Linked DNA regions of Ovis aries. The protein of the gene in region 1 interacts with the protein of each later gene in a pairwise test. Links are inferred from orthologs where the notes say so. Each region holds a gene or a part of one and is shown in the gene's direction. Other genes may lie near its edges. The genes, in order: AAGAB and AP2S1.

The links.
Region 2: the proteins of AAGAB (region 1) and AP2S1 interact in binary tests that used the Homo sapiens proteins (3 or more experiments, as listed by UniProt). The link is inferred for Ovis aries from reciprocal best matches to the Homo sapiens genes AAGAB and AP2S1.

The regions. Positions count from the first base shown.
Region 1 is NC_056060.1:14,000,670-14,004,482, reverse strand, and holds the end of AAGAB (alpha- and gamma-adaptin-binding protein p34), read left to right. Parts: intron 1-504; coding exon 505-609; intron 610-976; coding exon 977-1,111; intron 1,112-1,732; coding exon 1,733-1,776; coding exon of another isoform or gene 1,777-1,810; 3' UTR 1,811-3,559; downstream 3,560-3,813. UniProt on the Homo sapiens protein: May be involved in endocytic recycling of growth factor receptors such as EGFR.
Region 2 is NC_056067.1:53,704,595-53,708,424, reverse strand, and holds the start of AP2S1 (AP-2 complex subunit sigma), read left to right. Parts: upstream 1-1,025; 5' UTR 1,026-1,040; coding exon 1,041-1,313; intron 1,314-3,716; coding exon 3,717-3,830. UniProt on the Homo sapiens protein: Component of the adaptor protein complex 2 (AP-2). Adaptor protein complexes function in protein transport via transport vesicles in different membrane traffic pathways.

The DNA.
Region 1 (3,813 bases):
GTGAAGAACCTGCCTGCCAGTGCAGGAGCTGCAGGAGAGGCGGGTTTGATCCTTAGGTCGGGAAGATCCCCTGGAAGAGGAAATGGCAACCCATTCCAGTATTCTTGCCTGGAAAATCCCAGGGACAGGGGAGCCTGGCAGGCTGCAGTCCATAGGATCCCAAAGAGTCAGGACCGAGCATGCATACATGCGTAAGTCTGAAGCCAAGGTCACACTTACTAGTGGCGACCCAGAGTACGATCACCTGTCTCTGTACTCTAGTTTTCTTAAGAAAGGTAGAAACAGAATTCTTTGTCTCACTGCTGTTATTTCAAGGATAAAAAGAGTCCCTGTTCATTTGTGAGGGCCCCCTAGCAGCCAGGCAGGATGCAGCACCAGGAGCTGTACAGCTGGTCCATGCTGGGCCCTCATTCAGTGGTAACTTGCATCCAAGCCAGATTGACTGCTTTAGGATTCTTTGTATTTAGCACATACATAATACTGTGTGGCAAATCCTTATTGCAGATCCCATGTTAGACCTGGACATTCAAGAACTTGCCAGTCTTACTACAGGTGGAGGAGATTTGGAGAATTTTGAAAGACTGTTTTCAAAGTTAAAAGAAATGAAAGGTAATTGGATCCACTGGGTCTTACAGGTTTCCATAGTGATGTTCCTCTGTTTTATCTAGTAGGATTTTACTTTGTAACTGCTAATAGCATTCCATGCTTTGGCCTCATCTGCGAAATGTAGATACTGTGGGACTGTGCCATCCTCTGTTGGTAAAAATTTCTTTAGGAAAATTCTCCTCTTTTTTCATTCTTTTTCTTTTTCCTTTTCCTCCTTCTCCTGCCTGTCTGTTTCTTTCAGTCTGTCTCATTAACATGGAATCAGTAAGATCCCTACCAGTGTACTCACATCAGTCCCATCTGGAAAATTTGGAAGCCTTAAACTGTCTAACAGCTGTAATGACTCCACCATGAACATGTGTTTTTGCAGCCCATCTTCTAGTGTTAGAACATCTATGCACTCCAGATTCTCCTGTGCAATTAGATGCATTTCTTAAGATGTATTTTCCCCCTAGACAAGGCTGCGACGCTTCCTCACGAGCAAAGAAAGATGCATGCAGAAAAGGTGAGAAATTGAGTCAGGTATTTACTTACCTACTGCAGGCCCAGTGCTGCGAGAATTACATGTCACACTCGTTTACTGCTAAAGCGTCTTACTGTGAACTTTCTGTTGGGTATTCACTTATAATTATTTGAATATTTAGTTGCTGCCATCTAGCCAGGATTTTCCAGTGTATGTTGAGTGATGTGGAACATTGAGGCTCAGAATGTTTGCCTTCCTAGCTGTTGGGCTGGAAGACTCTTAGTTATTTTGTTTGGGTTGGGTTGGTTATTACCAACACATGTTCTTGGCAAGAAATGTATATGGTTTATGGTATTCCATTGTATGACTGTGTCATAACTTACTTATCTACTTCCCTTTTGGACATTTCAGTCATGTGCCTTTTTTTTTTTTTTTTCTGTAGTGAAGTTGTTCATATCCCTTATATGTCACTTATTTATACAGTTCTGATTATATCCTCAGTATAAAGTCTAGAAGTCCTGGATCAGGGTGTTCAGGGGTTTGATAGGTATTGTCAGAGCACTGAAGAGCAAGAGTTTTAAGTCTTAATCAGTTCTGTGTGTGACATGAAACGAGCTGAAGTTTAGGTGTTGCCTGAACTCCGTTGCTTGCTTCTCTCCACAGGTGGCCAAAGCCTTCTGGATGGCAATTGGGGGAGACAGAGATGAAATTGAAGGCCTTTCATCTGATGAAGAGCACTGAACTATTCATGCGAGGACTTACCTAACTAGGACCCTAGCACTCTCTCCCTGAGATTCTTCTCTCCTTAACCCCGTCATCTTTTGCTGAGCTTACCAGCATCATGTTGGCTGCCTGGTTTGTTTATAGGGTCCCGTTAATTTTAGTTTTTAGTAGAGGGTAAAGCAGAAATCTCTTCTCCCTCAGTATATTATAAGGGAGTGAGAAATTTTCATATAACATTTTTTGTTCTAGGAATGGGAGTGGGGTGAGCCTCGAAGGCCTGTGTGATTTGCCCAAGTTAAAGAAGAAAAACCACCACCAAGCTTCCCTGGTCAGTCTTTTGAGGAGCAATCCCTGTGTTCGTGTTGATCACTGCAGATCAGGAGTTTTCTGGTTTTCTCTTTCAAGGAGCTTGCTGCTCGAGGTTTGATGCTTTTGATGGGAGGAAAGGAAGAAACTGCACGTTTAATCTGTGCTGTAGCACAGATTATAGGTCAGCCACTGGCCCTCAGGTTAGTCTCTAGCGAAAAAAAAAAAAAGCATCTGCGTATTTCATTTGAAATACAGTATCTGACCTCTTGGTAGAAAGTATTGAAAAACCAGTGTGAATTTTTAGACTATAATAAATGATGCAAAGGTTTTCTACTCTGGTGGGGATAAAAATAAACCCTTCTCAACCAAGTTGTGGGCAGGGGTAGGGGTGGGGCATGGGTAAGAGAAACCTAAGGAATTTCCTATATAGGCCATTGAATTGGTATGATCCTGGCCCGAGATTTTTGCATTAGTATTACCATGTAGAAACTTTTCTTCCTTAGAGTTTGCTACTTGAGATGGCAGAGATGTGTTGTCACAGTTGATACCCTCAGAACAAGGGGTGTTTCCTCTTCTCTCTCTGAACTCCAGAGATCTCTGCCAAACTAGTGACACCTAAGTGGGACTTGGTGGGAAGGCATGCGAATCCCACAGTACCTGTGTTCCTTCCAGGGCTGAGGAGTTCGGCTCCAGGGAAACTGACCTCCACTGGAGAGAACTCCCAGAAGAGTGGGAAGTACAGCAAATGATACCTGTTTCTGTCTGTCTAGGGACTGTGAGATGCATGTCACGAGCCTTCCGTCTGCCGTGGCTCTCAGCTGGCTCAGGGCACACGGGCTGAGAGCTGCTGTGGCTCTCGGCTGGCTCAGGGCACACGGGCTGAGAGCTGCCGTGGCTCTCGGCTGGCTCAGGGCACACGGGCTGAGAGCTGCTGCTGGCCTGGTGTGGGTGTGAACCCCGTGGGTCGCCAGCAGAAACAAATTTCAGACCTGTCTCGGCGACACCTTCTCAGCCCTGCAGAGCCTGCTGCAGATGGCGGAAGGAATGGAATGCTCCAGGGTCCTGGCCAGAGCGGCCACAGGATGGAAGGTTTCAGCGAGTGCGATGTTCGGGGAGGGCCGTTCCAGGGAAAACTGGAGGCTGTCTTCCTTGATAACTTTTTTTCTTTTTCTTTTAACTATTCTGGGGGTCTTTGAGACTGTAGTTTACCACCATTCCAGCACTGTTTCTTTGAGGTGACTGCTTTGGCCATTGATGGGGAATGTAGGGAAAGTCAGTTCTGGGGTTGCAAAATGAAAGGTGGAACAAGTTTTTCTTAAAATATGAAAGGTTTCAGAGAACACATTAGGTCACATGGTTTGGGAAAACAGACTATAAAAAGCTGTGAACTTGATCTTGTGGATTAAACAAAGCCAGGTGATTAAAATGTGATTTATTTATAAAGCCTGCTTATGTATATTTTTATGGTTTTGTTGTTTTTTAGTAGAGGATGTGGGCAGGCGGGAGGAGGAGCCTTCCTTCATTGGATTAGGCATAAATAGCAATAATCTGTTCGTCAAACTCACCTTTTTAAATCTACCATTCGTGTGTATAATACCATGTTTTCAAGGTCTCAGCTATCTCAGGGTATTGGCCCCTTCTGGGTGACATGTGAGATTAAAGTATACAGTAGTAGCTACCAACGGCCCTTTTAAGAAGCGTGATCATGAGCT
Region 2 (3,830 bases), on another chromosome or scaffold:
CTGTAAAACTTCTTTTACTTAGCCTTAAGGGTGTCTGTTTCCTTGATTCCTATTCATTCATTCAGGAAACTTGTCAAACACCAGACTTGTGCCAGGCACTTAGCTGAGTGCTAGAGAACAGGGCTGGACCAAGGGGAGGCAAGCCAGCTGCTCACTTTCAGGCCCTTGCAAGGGTCAACATCTAAGAGTGAGTGCCTTTTAAATTTTTGTACCTTGGGCACATTGCTTACTTTATCCTGGTCCCAACCCTGTAGATGATAGAGGAGTGCAAGAACTGAAAATGATCTCTTACCTCTTTTTGCCCCTACAGTTATTCAACACCTATGTGTTAGTTCTTCTGCGAATACCACACTTTTAATTTACATCCAGGATATGTTTTGTTTTTATTATGGCAAGTCTGCCCTCAGTAGCAATACCTTTATTGAGTGCTTACTATGTGCCACCGTGTTCTAGTAAGGGGTCCCCAACAGCTGGGCCGTGTAAGAAGACAGGTGTACCTGTGAATAGGAAGCAAGAAGACCCCTATTACATGATATAAACAGTGAACATTCATGATTTTAACTCACGTTTATTGAGCGCTTACCATGTGTTGAGCACTATGCTAAGTACTTGGGAAACTGGCCGAAGCTTTAAAGCCACCCCAGTGAGGTGACCCCTTGACCACTTCTCTTTAACAGATGAAGAAATTGAGTTAAGAGGTGAAACTGCTCGCCCAAAGTCACAGAGCTAGGGAATGCGACGGCAGGATTTGCACACAGTTCTGACTTCCAAATTGATGCTATTAAACCACTGTCTGTCTCCCAGAGAAACACTCAACACATTTTAAACAGAGCACTAGGTAAGCACGGAAACATAATTACATTTCCCAACGCTGTTTTATTTAAAACAGTTATTCCCAGCATGTCCTTCTCGCCTAGGCTGGGAGGTGGAGGGAGGGCTGACGGAACTACTTTTCCCAGGATGCAACTCTCGTCTCGCTGGCTGTCAGGCATGTCGGAAACTGTAGTCCTCTGAGGAGATAATAACCCGTGGCTCCCAACATGCATTTGGAGCCTGAACCTTGGCGTAGGAAAAGCCCAGTCGCGCGGCATGCTGGGAAGCGCGACCGGCTCTTTTCCCGGGTTGCCTCCCCGACGAGCGAGCCTATTTTTTTTTCAGGACTACAATTCCCAGTGGGCTGTGCGCGAGAGGGCGGGCGAGTTCTTCTGCCGGAAGTCCGCTTCTACGCTTGGGTCCCCCAACAGCTGCCGGAGCCGGAGCCACACAGAAGCCGCGGGACCGGGGCCACTGGGGTCCGGACGGGGGTCGCCATGGTAACGAGGGCGCGCCTACGCTGGGGACGGGCGAAGGGTGGGTCCACGTGCAGGTACTCCAGGCTCGGTGGGATACTGACAAGCCGCCCCTGCAGCGGTGCGATGGTCTGGGCCGGGCGCGGGCTCTCGGGATTGGGGCCGATCAAAGGCCGGCGAAGGAGGCAACTGGGGGTGGTTCTGGGCGCGAGTGTGTACTGGGGTTCTCGAGGCTAGGGGGGAGCTTTTGAAGACCAGGTGCCAGGGGAGAGGCCTGTACGGGAGGGAGATATTCGAGATGGTTGGAGGGTTTTGAAACTGGGAGGCTACTCATGAGGCAGGATCTCAGAAGCTGGGAGAAGGAACTGGAGGTGGGGAGGGGGCGTCCCAAGCGGAGGGCTTTCCGGGAGTGCGTCAGAAGAGCTGGAGAAAAATGGGAGACGTTGAGATAGGAGAGAGGGGGTCTCTAGGGGCAGGAAGCCGATGTTGCAGGCGGAGAGAGGGTGTTGGAACTGGGTGGGATACTGCTGGTGAGAGAGTCTCAAGGATAAGAGACTGGACCCTGGAGACAGGAAGTACTGTAGGGAATGGGGCTTTAGAGTTAGGAAAAGTGTGCTGTAAGAGGGAAGAAGGCTTGGAGTAGGCAGTGAATACTACACATGAATGGGGAGCAATGGAACAGGTCTCTGCAAGAGGAGGGTTCTCACAGGGTAGGGAGTAAGCATGGAAGTGAGAGGTGGAGAGGGGGTTTGGGGAACAAGGACTGGGCATTGGAGCTGGCGCCAATCCCCAGGGATGGGGCACCCTGACAGAGAGCCCTGAAACTGGGAAAGCAGGAGTCAAAGCAACTCCGGGGGGGCCGGGGGAACTTGGAGGTAGAGAAGGCTGGCGGGGGGCCGGGGGGGAGGTGGGCACTGAGAGGGGACATCAGAGGGGCGAGGATACAGAAAGGATGGGACTTCTCAGTGTGGATTCCCTGGGATGGAGAGACTCTGGTTGGAAGGAGAAACAGGAAGAAGTGTATGAGGGAGTTCAGGACTCAGAGACAGAGCTCTCCCTTAGTTCTATAGCCTTGCTCCCATCTCTCCTCCGATCTCCTCCATCTATCTCTGGCTCTGGCCCCCAGGCTGCGGCTGCCTGGTGTGAGTCCCACCCCCACCCCATGCCCTTTGCCTGCCTGCCAGGACCCCTGCCTTGCTAGGAAGTGGTTTTCCCTGGCTCAGCAGAAGGGGTTCTTGGAAGGAGAGTGTAATATCCTGTTCCCGTCCAGCTCAGATGAGTTGCGGGAGGAGGGATGGAGTGTGTGGAGAATGAGGCTTACGAAAGAGAGCAACCCCTCATGACCCGGTGGAGGCTTCCACAAGTCAGGATAAGGAGATTCAGAGCAAAGCCTTTGGATTCCCAGCTCTGCTTTCTGGCTGTGAGACTTCCATTCTCTGAGCCTCGATTTCTTCATCTATAAAATGGACATGAGCACACCCATCTCCAACAGAACTGGGCTCAAAGACAGACTTCCTAGCTGCATGCACTTGGCCCATGATTTTCTTAAAGTCAAATAACAATGAATTATATCGCTAAGAACTAATATTTGTATAATGCTTAGTATGTGCTGGTCACTGTTTTATCCCTGCTGTGTTCATGAACTCGTGCAACAGTCTCATGAGGGAGGTGCTCTCATTATACCCATTGTGCAGACAGTGAAACTGAGGTCCAGAGAGGTGAAGTAACTTGCCTACAGACTCACAGCCAACAGTGCCAGGATTCATATGGGCTCTAGAGTCTGTGTTTTTAGCCACTTGGTCAAATGCATCAGTCATAATAGTTAATTTTATTGAACACTCAGTATATAAATGGGACTATACAAAACACTTCTGAGATCAACTTGTTCGGTGTTCACAGTAGCCCTGTGACAGTTGAGCTGGCGTTTCAAAATCTTAAAAACACCTCAGGTCTCCTAGGCATCACTGATGATAATTGCAGCTGACACCTGGCTTGCCTGTTAGTGCCAGCCACTGACTAAATTTATAAACTTATTTAACCTTCAAAACACCCTGACAAGGTGAGTCTTCTAAGGAAAACTTGTTTCACCGTGGGGAAACTGAGGCGTAGAAGGGCGGATCTTTTGTCCAAGGTCAGGGAGACAAGACTTGGTGGAGCTTGGGACTCAGCGCCCTAGAAATGACTGCAGAGTTGGCCAGTGGATGAGAGATCACTCCACGGGGTGTTGGAGGGACCTGGGACCAGAGCAGGTGGCCAGGTCAGCCTGGCTGGGCTCAGGGGAGTGGCGGAGACCCTTGGAAGGCAGGCAGCCGGGACACATGGACCCTATCTTCCCCATGGGGCAGGGTGGGGCTGTTGGGCAGGGCCGCCCTGCACTGGCTCGCCCACCCCACCTCTCTCCCTGCCTCCTCCTCTTGCCATCCCCAGATCCGCTTCATTCTCATCCAGAACCGAGCAGGCAAGACGCGCCTGGCCAAGTGGTACATGCAGTTCGATGATGACGAGAAACAGAAGCTGATCGAGGAGGTGCATGCTGTGGTC